2 linked regions of the Notamacropus eugenii genome follow. The protein of the gene in region 1 purifies or fractionates together with the protein of each later gene. This does not show direct contact. Links are inferred from orthologs where the notes say so. Each region holds a gene or a part of one and is shown on either strand. Other genes may lie near its edges.

What was found.
Region 2: the proteins of STX11 (region 1) and VAMP8 purify together in Homo sapiens (co-immunoprecipitation; 3 studies listed by BioGRID and IntAct, counting the BioPlex papers as one, with this or other methods). This does not show direct contact. The link is inferred for Notamacropus eugenii from reciprocal best matches to the Homo sapiens genes STX11 and VAMP8.

Annotation. Positions count from the first base shown.
Region 1 is NC_092873.1:232,385,421-232,392,660, reverse strand, and holds the start of STX11 (syntaxin-11), read right to left. Parts: upstream 3,012-7,240; 5' UTR 2,734-3,011; intron 1-2,733. UniProt on the Homo sapiens protein: SNARE that acts to regulate protein transport between late endosomes and the trans-Golgi network.
Region 2 is NC_092872.1:726,536,946-726,544,289, forward strand, and holds the start of VAMP8 (vesicle-associated membrane protein 8), read right to left. Parts: upstream 3,013-7,344; 5' UTR 2,427-3,012; coding exon 2,424-2,426; intron 1-2,423. UniProt on the Homo sapiens protein: SNAREs, soluble N-ethylmaleimide-sensitive factor-attachment protein receptors, are essential proteins for fusion of cellular membranes.

The sequences.
Region 1 (7,240 bases):
GTGACAATAACTTAAAGAAATTCAACATTAAAAGACTTCAGAATTTTGAAAAGCATGAATCAGTCCTGACTTCAGAGTACTTAAAAGTGAAGCATCCCACTTGTTGGCAAAAAGGTGTGGTGAATACCAGGTAGAAAATAAGGCCCATATTTTCAGACATGACCAATGTATTGATTCATTTTGCTTGACTGTTTTTATTTGTTATAAGTTGGGGTACTTTGGGGTTAGGGGACAGTCACTGGGGAGGGCCAGACATTTTTAAAAAATAAAAGAGCATCAATAATTTTTTTAATAAAAGATATGGACAAGAATCACATGGAATAAGAAGGTATGGATGGATTATGATCTGTATTGTGGAAAGCAATAACCACATGGAAGAGCTCATGAATTATTAAAAATGCCAAAGTATCAAAATATGTTAATTTTGTTATGCAAGCCTAAGGTTTTTTTTTTGCATTTGACTCTTGATTTTTTAAGAGTGATATACTAAGTGATATACACTTTCACCTTTATACTATATTTAAATTAGATTTCACTGCCTATCCATAACTTTGAGATTGTATGACTGGAAGATGTGGCTCCTGCCACAGTGACCCCAGATTAAGTTTTATCCAAACATAGTAAATGTGCATTTTTTTTCTGAATCATTTATGTATAATCCATGGACCAATGTCCCAAGCTCTGGACTTATATGAACCCATTTCAGTCTTGGGTGTTTCTCCAATACTTTCATTTTTTGATTCATTTTTCTCCCATTCAGTCCTTCCTCTGGGAAATCTCAGAGCATACTTTTTGTAGCTCATAACTAGGTCTCCACTGATGTGGAGATGGTTTAAGGAGATAACCTGTTACCTATACATTGAAGATAACAATGCATAGGGAATACAGACCTGCTTTTATTTCACTCCGTGGAAAAACAGCAATCAAGCAATACAATTCTCTTCCCTTTCTCATATAGCCATATGTAATAATGGGAGTTAAAGATCTTCCCTGCCCATTAATAGGCCCCAGGTGGAGCCCATATGGGAAGCTTGATTAGGGGAGACTTGTTTTGTAGCAAGGTCCATACCTTTTGTTAATTAAGGAGGCACTGAATCACCAGGGTTGTGATGTCCTCCGGCTCTGTCAAGTGTATATGTACTTTCAGGCGAGGTTTTGCTTTGGGGCTTACTCTTTGGAAGAAGGCGCATGTGCCAGAAGAGTCTCTGGGTAACCATTAAGGAGCCCCCTAGCTTTGAAAACCCAGATGTTGGTGCTTCTCTCTCTCTCTGATAACTATATATGTGTGTAATGGTCAGACAGTTGCATCTGTCTGTTGATCTGTGATGTGTATAGCTTATGGTCAGACACTTAGAAGCCCTGTTGGTCTTTAATTCTCTGTTTATATTGTCTCTTTTGGTACATGTAATTAAAGACGATTGTTGACCCCTCAAAAGTTGCTTTCCTTTTAGAAAAGCAGATCTAAGAACCTGTGCTAGCAGGCCACCTTTGATGTGTCAGGGTGCTTGCTGCTATAGCATCCTTCCTAATGATGCTACCTTGAAGGATTGGAGAATTGAAGTCAACAAGCATTTATCAAGAACCTACTATGTACCAGGCACTGTGTTAAGTGCTGGGGATGCAAGAAAGGCAAAAACAGTCCCTGCTCTCAAGGAGCTTATAATCTAATGGGGGGACAACCTGCAAATAACTATTTACAAATAAGATATAAAGTGGAAATGGTCTCAGAATGAAGGCACTAAGCTTAAGGAGGACTGGGAAAGGTTTCTTGCGGAGCTAAGACTCTGTTGCTTTTATTCAATTGTTTCACTCGTGTCTGATTTTTCTTGACCCATTTGGGATTTTCTTGGCAAAGATACTAGAGTGATTTGCCCTTTCTTTCTCCAGCTTATTTGACAGATGAGTAACTGAGGCAGAGTTAAGTGACTTACCCAGGGTCACACAGCTAGTAAGTGTCTGAGGACAGGTTTGAACTCAGGAAGACGAGTCTTCTTGACTCCAGGCCCAGCACTCTATTCATTGCACCCCTTAGCTGCCCTATAAGTCCACCCTACGACTTTAGCTATGACTTAAAGGAAGACAGGAGATGGAGGTGAGAATTCTAGGTATGGGACACTGCTAGTAAAGATGCCTGCAGTCAGGAAATGCTAGAAAGTAGTAGTGAGCCAATGGAGTTGACCTAATCATATTTTCACTTTAGGAATATCAATTTGATAGCAGAGGATGAATTAAAGTTGGGAGAGACTTGAGGCAAGGAGATGAACCAGAAAACTATTCCAATAGACCAGACATGAGCTGATGGATATAGAAGAGATGTTATAAAGGTTAAAAACAACAGGACTTGACAATTGATTGAATATGGGGTGTGAAAGAAAGGGGTAAGTTAAAGATGGGTAAGGGGTAAGTTAAACAGCAACAAATATAAAATTATGTTTGGCTTTTAGAGCTTTTCATAACCTGGCCCCTTCCTAGCTTTCCAGTCTTTTTATATTTTTGTCCCACCCACATTCACTGTGATCCAGTGACACTGCCCCCTTGCAATTCTTAACATATGACACTGATTATATAGTCTCTGCCAGCTAGCCCAGTGAACCATGGTAACACACCTAAACAAACCCGAAACTATAGAAATGAACACAAGCTGGAACTATAGTGGACAACAACAAACCAGGGGTGGGGCCGTCCCTTCCAGCGCCATCTTGTTCACCCTTCCCTGCACCAGACTCAGTTTACCTGATGTCTGTCAGTGTGGCGTCCCAGATGGTGTGGCGGTCAGTGCCCCTTACAGGAAAGTAGGAAGCCTTCTTCAGACGGTGCAGGCAAGGTGACAGTTGTGGAGTTGGAGGGAAATGCTTCTGGGCTCACTGCTAGGGAATCTCCTTCTTACATGACCTTCCTTGTTCAAATAACTCATGGTGATAGTGGACAGCAAAGTCCAGCTTTTTTGCTATCCTGTTATGGTTCTGTCTTATTTTTCTCCTTTAGATGTAGGGTCATGTGCTCAAACTTCTCCCAAAAAAAGAACTGCCCAGGTACTCCACCTTCCCTCTCTATAAGGCTAGATTCTAGAACTTGGAACTCAGAAATTCTTTTGTTGGGTGTGTAATTACACTGTACCTCTTCCCCAAGGCACCTATTAGGAGCTCCTGGGGAGATGTTTACAGTCGTAGACTCCCTTTAATCTCTAAGTCTTCTTTTAACTGTGCTGCTCTGTGATTGTCTCTAAAAAGAAGCCAGAAGGGACAAAATGGCCTGTGGTCTGTAATGAAGTCTCCCTTTCATAGGCCTAGTCATCCTCAATCATCTTGGTTCACTGAGATTCATTCATCCTAAATAAGGTGTGAATGGGTCAAGACAGTGAACATGTCCACCTTTCTATAGAGAGAATGCAGAAGTGTCAAACAAAGGCTTTAGTTGTCTGTCAGCTCATCAAGCTGACCAAGGAACTCAACTGATCAAGCCTGGAGATGTACATAGTGCTATCAGTGACCATCACGTTAGAACATTACTAAAATGAGACTCAAATAGGCTTGAAAATAATCAACTATTAGTCCTATCTCTACTTTGAAAAGTTTCCATTTAAAACTGTATTGAAGGTTATTTCTCAATGTCTCTGAATCTTGATAGATAAAAGTATTTCCCATCCCTAAATTGTCAAGTAATTATTTGGTGAATATGGGTGGCTAAGGAAGGATTAACAAATCATTCTAGTAATTAAATTAACCTTAAATTTCCTAGGGGCAGCTAAGTGGTGAAGTAGATAGATCATGTGATACTGCACAAATATGCCTCAGTTTCCTCTTCTGCAAAATGAGTTGGAGAAGGAAATGGTAAACCACCCTAGTATCTTTGCCAAGAAAACTCCAAATGGGGTCATAAAGAATCTCACACGAAACAAAAATAATCACAAAATTTGTTAGATACCCTGCTTTAAATTGGGGTTATGGTTTTCTGAATTATATGTCCATCCTGTCCAAATCTACCAATTTTTTTTAAGGCAGCTATGTGGTGTAGGATAGAGAGGACTGGACCAGGAGTCAGGATGATCTGAATTCAAATCCAGACTCAGATACTTCCTAGCTGTGTGACCCTAGGCAGGTCACTTAACCTCTGTCTGTCTCAGGTTCCTCAACTGTAAAACAGAGATTAAAATAGCACCTTCCTTCTAAGATAAATTTGATAATATTTGTAAAGCACCTTGTAAAATTTAAAATGCTAGCTATCATTTTTATTTAACCCTTTGCATTGGCTCAAATTTGACTCTTAATTTGATCCATTTCAATAGATTCCCTCTCAAAAATCTAATAATACTTTATCTGAATTAAAACCTTTTCCCATGTATTCCTACCAGTCTGGGGGAGGGGGTGCAGGGAGAGGGAGAAAAAGAAGCAGTATCATTCTTGATGTTTTTAATATCCATGGATAAAGTGTAAATTATACTTATTTTTGTGCCATTTGCATTAATGTCATCATGCTTAATATGGATTTGCATCAGTAAAGCTTGCAGGCAAAAATTATTTTTGGTTCTGACAATGAAATAATAGTTTTTCAATTTTCAACAGGAGTATTACAACTTATCTTGGTCAAAAACTTGCTAGCTAATTTTGCAGCTAACTTTTAATTTTATCTCATGAGAGTTGTAAAGAGATTAAAAAGAAAAAATAAAGATAGGATTTGATCTACAGCTATTTTTTTGTTGGGGGGAAATAGAAGAATAGGCTTCAATGCTGAATCACCTAAGTGTTTGAAATATCAACAGCAAGCAATATTTTATATTAGTTTTTGCACTGTCTATTCTAATTTCTTTACATCGAGAAAAAGAAAACAAAGAATAATAAACTTTTGAAGACACAACAAGCTCTCTTTCGAGTTTAATAAGCCCAACAGAATAGCAGCTGATGTAAATAGTCAATATTGGAGGGGCTGCAAAAAAACTCACTATAGTTAGTGGAGCTAGGAAGCTGTTCAATAATTCTGAAAAATCATTTTATTATGCTTTTTAGAAAGTGACAAAAATGTCAATGGTCTTCAACCCAGATATTCCACTACTATGCATATATTCCAAAGAGGTCAAAGGCAGGAAGAAAGGTCTCATACAAGGCAAAATGTTCAAAGCAGCATTTTTTGTGGTTGCAAAGAACTGGAAACAAAGCAGATGCTCATGGAAGGGGAAATAGCTAAACAAAATGTGTCAGTGAAGGTAATGGAATATTACTGAGACATAAGAAACAATTAACATGAAGACCAAGAAGCATGGGAAAACATAGGAAATAATGTAGAATAAAGGAAGCAGAACTAGGAAAACAACATATTTAATGAATAAAACAACATAAATGTAAGGAACAAAAGAATGAGACGTCATTATACTGACCAAGAAACTTGGATCTGAAAAAGATAAGAAAAGCAGCTTCCTTCCCTTTGCAGAATATTGCATATATACTGTCTGACACAGCTGAAATGTTCTTTGGTTTTATTAAAGGGACATTTTTCATCTTTATTTTTTAGTACAAGGAATGGCTCTCCAATACTTAGAAATAACAGTGATATCAAAAATAAAAGATATTAATAATTTTCTTTGTAAGAAATGGAAGAAAAAGATATTTGGGTCTGCAATGTAGGACTTTTAACTACCCTTTTGCAATTTTCCTTACAGCCCGTTTTTATCCATCTCTTGTGTTCCTTTCTCTGGACTCTATGTGTAGTGTCCTTTGGGGCTGCTAAGGAAATAAGGATGTTGGAATCAGGCCTGCTGATTAGGATAGAAATCCTTCAGAGTTCCTTTCTTTGACCCTTAGAGAATTAGTTCCAACCCAGGACTGATTGAGTCAAAACTTGACAGACAAGACAGTCATTCCATCACTGGGTAGGAGGAAGAGAAGAACTGAGAGGAAAAGAAGTAAACTGAGAGACACACCTTCCAGCACATGAGGTGGGCTACATGGGGAGGCAGGACACCTACCACTAATGGCTGATACAGGAAAGAGACTATCTGGTTAAGTTATTGACCATAGACATGAAGCATATTCTGGGTTTGTTGAAACTGTACAAATTACTGAGCCCAACACTGGCAATTCCTCATATTTGATTTCCAAATCTCCATTTCTTTCTTTCTTTCTTTCTTTTTTTTTTGGTAATTTAAAAAATTTTAAACTTGAATAAAAATTAGAAAAGAAAAAAGAAAAAACTTAAATATAAAATAAGAAAAGAAAAAAATGTTACCATGTGCACAGCAGAACATGAGAGGATTCAAAATATAAAGCCATAAATTTCATTTCAAGAAAGTCTTTATACTGTATTCAGAGCTGTCCATCTTTTTTTTTTACTTCCTTGTAGGTTTTATTTTGTTCTCTGCTGTGTACTTTTTATTTTGTTCTTTTTCCCCCTTTCTTCCCTCCCCTCCCCCAAGAAGGCTACAATTAAGCATGGATACACACACATACATGTGAGCACATGCACACATATACATATGTACATGCACATGCATACATGCACAAATTCATACATATACACCTATATACACAAAAATATACAGACATACGTAATACACTTACATACACATTCAAAGATATCTATAATCATACACATATACATTCATATGCATCTAAGACCATACTAGTTTGTGCATTTCCATTTCTTGAGTTCGTTTTATTTCTCTTTTAAGGTTTTTTTCCCTAAGACAAATAAGGCTAATCTCTATCTTTCTGACTTGTGTTTCATTACTGAAATATAGCAAAAAAAAGAGAAGATAGGAAATATGTTTTTTTTCAATTGTAACATATTCATCAAGGCTATTTTGGAGGTCTTCAAGTTATAGATGAGAAAATTATTGATTCCACTTTAGAGATTTTCAAGTTATAGATGAGGAAATTATTGATTCCACTTTACAAATAACCCAGAGCAAAGAAAGGAAACCTAGCACCAGATATTTCTAGGCAAAATGAGTCAGCATTTTCAATGGGCAAAGGTTGTGGTGCACTGGGCCTGATAACAAAGGTTATCAACAAAACTCAGTCATTTTTCCTTCTTATTGTCTTCCCACAGCTATTTCGAAAGGAAAACCATTCTTACAGAGGAAGAGGCTGGAAGAAAAATCCATGACAGTGTGGAGAAAACAAGGGCAAGGCTGGGAAAGACAGATTCTGCCCCTATAAACAAGAGTAGGAGCAAATAAGAGGATTGACGACTCCTGCTCACTTGCTTAGCAAAGCACTACCACTCTCCAGTACCACTGCTAGATGTG
Region 2 (7,344 bases), on another chromosome or scaffold:
ACACAAGTCAGTAAATACAAATCATATAAATACAGTAAATAAGGAAAAACATAAAGTACTTTCAAAAGGGAGATGGTGCTGATAACTGGGGAGATCTCACTGAGCAGCCTCAGGGAGAAGGCGCCACTAGTGGTTCCAAGACTCTGAGGTGAGTACATCTCCCCTCTTCTCTCAGAAATTTCCTCCTGGAAAAGTCCTGCTTCTATTAGATTATAACCTCATTGAGGACAGAGGTTATCTCTTGCTTCTTTTTGTAAACCTTAGTGCTTAGTAAGGTGCAATCAATTAATCAACATTAAGCTCATCTTCCAGAGTTCAAATCCAGCTGCAGACACTTACTGGCTGTGTGACCCTGGGCAAGTCACTTAAACCCTATTTGCCTCAGTTTCCTCATCTGTAAAATGAGTTGGAGAAGGAAATAGCAAACTGATCCAGCATCTTTGCCACAAAAACCCCAAATGGGTTTTTGAGTCAGACATGACTGACAAAGACTGAACAACAACAACATTGTAGGTGCTCGATAAATGTTGGTTGATTCCTTTCAGCTGCACTTCGTGGCTGCTTAGAAATGAGTCCAGCAGTTCTAAGTTACCCCCTCCCCCCACTCCTCGGCCCCCTTCCATCTTCAGCCGTTGAGCCACAAACTTCTGCTTTTTCCACTCCCAACCCCCCAGTGGCCCAGGACGAAGGGATAGGGGGGCTCGGGCCACTGAGGATGTTGGTGCCAACAGTCAATAAAACTGTGGGAGACAAAGAAGGCAGGTCTTCTTGAAGCGTAGCCTGTGACTTTGTGATACCTCACGTGGTATGGAACAAGCCTTGGCATGACAGTCATTGGCCTTGGGTTCAAATTCCAGCCCTGATTCTACTGGCTTCTGTTTAATCTTCACAACCACCCAGTGAGACAGGTGCTATTATTATGTCCATCTTTACAGATGAGGACATTGAGGCTGATATTTAAGGGTCACACACACAGCTATTAAGTGTCTGAGGTCACTTTGAACTTAGAAATTCCCAAGCCTGTGTTCTACTTTTATCTATCCACTCTAGCCAACCCTGGGCAAATCACTTTATTTTGATTAGCTTCCATTTCTCCATCTGTAAAGTGGGGATAAATTGAGTGCTGGCCCTGGAGCCAGGAGAACCTGAGTTCAAATCTGGTCTCAGACACTTGCTAGTTGTGTGACCCTGGGCAAGTCACTTCACCCAGTTTGCCTCAGTTTCCTCATTTCTAAAATGAGATGGAGAAGGAAATGGCAAACTACTGCAGTATCTCTGCCAAGAAAACCCCAAAGGAGGTCAAGGAAAGTCAGACACAACTGAAACAACTCATCAACAAAGAGGGGATAACTGACTGCTACCTCAGTGGGTGTGGGGGTAAGGATCAAATGGGATAATGTATATAAGGTGCTTTCTAGATTGCAATGTGCTATAAAGTTGTTTATTATTATTATTATTATTATTAAAGACTAAGTGACCTGCCCCCTTCCCTTTCAGGCAGAGGGAAGGACTAAGTAGATAAAGCTAAGGGAAAATTGTTTGAGGCCCCCAGTTAAGGGACCGCCCCAAGGTCACAAGGCTAGTAGAACAGTAACTTGGTAGCTAGAGTAGCCAGAGGCTTGGAGAGATTACGTAAGCATGCTTTAAAGGGAAGAAAAGCAATCATTCCTGGTTCTTCCCCTTCATCCCCTCACCCCCAAAGCCTGGGTAGGTAAGGTCTGAAATCATGACATCACACACTGAATACAAATTCCACATTTGAGGAGCCAAGGCTGATCCCTCCGGACAGAAAGAGTAATGAAGAAGGGGTCCTAGTTCCAGCCCAGCTCACCCAAGCTGATCTCAAGCTTCTTCCCCAGCCCCCAAACCACAAAGCTTTTGCATTCATATCAGAACTGAAGGAAGAAGGGGGGAGGAGAAGCCGCCTCCAGCCCTGGGTAGTTCCATTTCTGTCCAGCTGACCCAGCAAGTTGGGGAACACCGGAGCCCCAAGGGAGCAGCTGGAGCCCTTGGGCCTGGAGGGAGAGGCCTGCCAGGCTTTGGTCCCTCTCTGGCGGGGTGGGCAGCCAGGCTGGGCTCTGCTGCTCCCGGGATCGGGGAGTCCTCCTCCCTCAACCTCCGCCCCCACAGGAACTCGGCCAACCATTCCAGGAAGAATTCCCGGTCTTCGGGGCCAGCAGGGAGGTCAGGGAAGTGAAGGCCGGCAGTGGGGAAGGAGGGGGTGATCAGAGAAGGGAGCAGCCAGCCACAGCTGGGACAGCCCAGAGTCAGAGTACTGGTCAAAGGACAGGAGCCACTGGGGGCCTTCCCGCCTTCTCTCTCCTCTAGACCCTCGAGATGATGGATCGCCACTCTCTTCCCCCTCCCTTTTCCTCCTGACCCACCTCCCAGTCCTTCTCCCATTCGAGGCCTCCCTCACTCACCATCTCTGCCTCCCGTCCAGCTGGGGCCCCTCAACAGCTGGGACAACAGCAGCAAAGGACTGGCTCGGGTACTTTTCTCCCGGGGTGCGCTCAACCTACTTCCTGCTTATTCCAACTTTCAGCCCGCCCCAAAGGCTGAGCTCCGCTGCTGCGTCGGTCGGGTCTACACGGCCGGTCCCAGACTGGGCGGCTCTCGAGGCACACCTGGATCCACAGGTTACATGAAGGAGGAGGCGGGGCTGGCCACCTTGGAGCCTCCCCCAGCCTTTCCTCTAGCAGGGCTGGAGCTTACTTAAAAGACTTAGGGCTTCCTGAGCCCCTCCAAGACTCGGAAGCGCACATCCAAGGCTCCCCAGAATGTCCTAAGAACCTGAGGGAACGAATCCCGAGTCGGCTACCTCAGCGGGGAAGACAGCTCCTGCCGCCCCCCCACCCCCTCCACTTTCCCCCCAGGCTTTCCAGGCTGTTCTCACCCAACTCTCACCACCCAGAAAAGAACAGAGATCACTTTTCATGGAAACATTCGCAAGTTAGAGCCGGAAGGGATGTTAATAGCCACAGGCCAACTTCTTAAAACCCAGAGAAGGACTAGACTCAGAACCCACCGTCTTCTCTCACTTTCTACTCTTTAATCAAAACTACAATTCTGGCAGATTAATATGTGAATGTGGTAGGCTGACATCTGGCCCAAGAAGATAGAAAATTGGCCTTGGAAGACCTGGGTTGAAATTCGGCCTCTAACACCCACTGTCTGCTTGACTGTGGGTAAATCATTTATTCCTTTGGAGCCCCAGGTTCGAAAGATGGAGTTCCCCTGAAGTTGAATGGGAAAATCCTTTTAGCTTTATTTTCATTAGCCTCTAACTAAATTTAAAGTATCCTTCAAATATTTAAAACATTCTTCTAAGAGATCCATAGATTTTGCCAACACATGTGAAGGGGCCCAAGACACACGAAAAGGGGAAGGACCCTCTGTGTCAAGGTTCTAAACAAAAAATAAGTTGCTCATCTGCACCTGCGGCAGGAATTACAGTCCTCTGATGAAATAGTACAAATTCAACATTTATTAAGCACCTACTACATGCCAAACAGCCAGGGTTGGGGAACCTTTAGCCTTGAGGCCACCTGTGGTCCTCTTGGTCCTCAAGTTCAACCCTTTGACTGAATCCAAACTTCACAGAAACAAATTTATAAACAAATTTTCAGCCTTGAGGCTGCAGGTTCCCCACCCCTGGAACCATTTATTAAGTCCCTGCTGTGGGCTAAGCATTGGAGTTGCAAAAACAAAAGGAAAACAGAAACTGAGTTCTAGGAGTTCATATTGGAATGGGATGGGTTTAGCAAAACAGAGAGGAAAGAGACGTTTTGAGGTCGATTTGGGCTGGACAGCAGTAGTGTCTGGGGGGAATCAAGAAAAATACCATGGGAAAGATGAGGATTCCAAAAGTCAGGACGTATTAGAGTGTTAGAACAGCAAGGACTCCTTGAGGTCGATGAATCCAGTTCTCACATTCAAGGTCACCCAGACAGTGGCAGAGCAAAAGCATAGATTCTGACCAAAACAAAAAAAATCAAATCCAAAATTAGAAACTAACTAGGTTGTTTGTCCAAGAAATGTTGCTATGCCTTGCTCTGCTTGAGGTACGGATCTTAAAAAAATGAAGGCACCCTTATTTTTAGTGCAAGGTAGCTGGTAAAAATAAAAACCCTGGATTAGGGAGTTCAGAGACCTGGGCTGGGCAATTTCGGGCATGTTGCTTCACCTGTGTGCCTCAGTTTCTTCCTGTGGCAAAATGTTTAGAGGTTGAGGCTAGATTGTTAGTATCATAGTGCTCCAAGACCACCTAGTCAAACCCCCTCATTTAAAGATGAGGAAACTGAAATAACCTCTAAGATAACTTTTAGTACTGAAATTGTGATTTCTGTTTCTGCAGTCTGAAGCTGGGGTTTTGTTGGTTTTTTTGGGAGATGAGAGTAAGGGGCATTGGCTGAGAAGTTAGAGATACCTCCAATGGAGGGAGGGTTGCCCTGTGAGGGAGGACAGCTGCCAAGCCAAAGGTTAAGACAAGGACTGGAGAACCAGAAAGCTGGGCAGCTGCCCACACAGTGAGCCTGATGCAGCTGGAAATGGGACAGATAAAGGGAGAGGGTCTGCTCTTTGCTGGACACACCATGCTCTCTCTTTCTCTCTGTCTCTCCCTCTCTTTTTCTGTCTCTGAGCTTAGAGCAGCAGCCCCCCTAAAAGGAAGATGACAGTAATTCTGTACCTCACTCCAGAATTACACCAGGTGACAAGAAATCCTGTCAGAGGCACCTTCAGAGAGTCCCCAGTGGCCTGGAGATAGAGGCCTCAAGGGAAGGATTTTTTTCCCACCCCTGGCTCCCTGCCAAAGGAAAAGGCGATTGCTGGTCTTCCTAAATTTTATCTTGGTGGGAGAACATAAAAGGTGTCCTATCTCAGAAGACAGAAAAAGTTCTGGGATGATTTCTGCAGCTGAGAAAAACGCATTCCAGCCTGATGCTAGGATTAATTAGCTTTTTCCTTTTGGTTGTCAGGAGACCCAGATAGGAGAAGGTGATGGCTGGATATGCCAACCTGCCTTCAGTTAGAATGAATGTGGTCACGCCACACTGTAGGACGTTTGACAGCTTAGTTTAGAGGGGGCAGGGTGTGACAGGAAATGGCGGCTCTACCCAGCTGGAGAGCCAGCAAGCAAGAGAAGGGGAATGCCAAGCATACCGAGGAGGGATGTGAGTAGAGGCCAAAGACTGCCATTGACACTCTGGCATGTGTCCCAGGCAAGAGGACACTTGGCCTGGTCCCAAAGCTCCCTACATCCAGGGCCTGTCCTGACTATATTGTCACCCTCATCTTCCTCCAGATGGACACTGTGCAAATGTAATTATAACTCTGGAAGTGAAAACCTGGGCCCCTCAGAGGCTAAAGTGCTAAGGCAGATGATAATGACTTTGGCTCAAGTTATAAGAGACTTGCTAATTAAATGTACAGAGACCTCATTACAATAACAGGGCAGAGGGCAGTAAAGGGGAGTCAATATTTTCATTGCTTAGTAGGGATTATTAACTCATGTCCCACTGAACTTGGTTTAAAAAATATTTTGACAAATGTCTTTTAATATAGTCAGTTTCATCATAATACTGTTTTGAAAAACTGATCACCCTGAGAACGAGTCCATAGGCTTGGCTAGATTGATTGCAAAGAGGGCCAAGACATTCTTGGAGACTAAGAACTCTTGGAGAGTGTGCATTTTGAACATGGTCCTAGCTCATGGTCAAGGAAGTTATCTTCCTCTAAAAGAAAGATCACTTTAGGACATTTGAGGAGGGAAATAAAGACTCCTGGTGGGTTGGGGGTGGGGAAGTGAAGTTAGTGAGAGAAGGCGTGACAACTCACAGAAGCAACCAGGAGGATTCTGGGGTAAATGGTAGGTTTGGTTCCCAGGAACACAAAGGAAACAGGTCTAGATAAAACATAGGCTTAGGAAATAGAATCTGACTAAATTTTGCCCCTCTCTTCTCCTCTATTCCCTCTCTTCCTACATCCATTTTTTTCAAGAAATTAGAAAAAGAAAGAAAAAAAACTTTTTGTAACAAATATGCAAACAAATTTTCAAACTGATCATGGCTGAAAATGTATTTTTCAGAAGGTGGGTAGCACATTTCACCACTCATTCTTGGCTGGTTGTATTGATCAGAGATCTAAAGTTTTTCAAAGTTTGTTTTAATAGTCTTTTTGTTATTGTGTAAACTGTCACACTGGTAGGATCTGATCCAGAGATGTCCCTCTGACCTGGTCTTCCATGGACACCAGGGCCTTCTAATGGTCCAGATTAATCAAGGGCTTTGGTATGGGATCCCCAGGTTAATCCCTTGAAGGGATAGGAACCTCATCCCAGCCCCCAAAGTAGCCTTCCTCCTTCCTTGTTTGAGATGACACAGAGATAAACTAGAGTAGGGGTGGGAAACCTGCAGCCTTGAACATGTGGCCCTCTAGGACCTAGAGTGCTGCCTTTTGACCGAATCCAAACTTCACAAAACAAACCCTTCCATTATGTGTTTCCTCATCCCTGGCCTAGAATCTAGGCCCCAGACCCTCCTAGAACGGACCAGGTAAGCACTTGCTTCAGCAGCTTTCACCCCCAAAATAAATTCTGTTGGTTTTTTTTTTCATGACTGGCTTATTCATAGGCTAATAGGAGCATAGATTTAGAGCTGGAAATGACCTTGGAGCTCATCTCATTTTAAAGATAAGGAAACTGAGGGATTGGGCTGCACTCCTGACTCTCTGAATCATGCCAAAGAAATCACTTCTGGAAATTCACTCTCCCCCTGGACTTCTCACACTGGAGGGACTTTTGGCTCACAACTTCTCTGTCTTTGGCTCTTCCATTTGGAGAAGGATGGCTAAGGCAGTTATGCCTTTGATTCTCTCCAGGTTGCAATCTTGAATCTTTAGACTTTCTTTGCCATTCTTTACCCTGCCCCCAACTTGAGGGTACCTGCCCCTCCAACCCTTTACAGTTTTGTTTTGTTTTTTTACATAGGGTCTTCCCCCAATACATTATAAACTCCTTAAGAACAGGATGAATTGTCTTTCTGCCTTTCTTTGCATTCCTGGATTGGCATGTAGGAAGCTCTTGTTTACTTCACTTGATGACCAAGGATGTTGACTTACCCAAAGGTACTACAGGTAGTAAGTGTGGGATGGGCAGTGTGAGGTAGGAGCAAGATCTTAACTCCTTCTTTCATGCTGGTTAATCTAGTTATACCTTAAAAGGCATTGAGATCATCACTGAAATTTGGCTGGCTCAGAGGCCTAAAGGCTCATATTGATCCTCATCACCTGAGTACAAAGCAGTAAGGACCTTGGTGGGGAACAGGAGGATGGGTCTGAGATGCT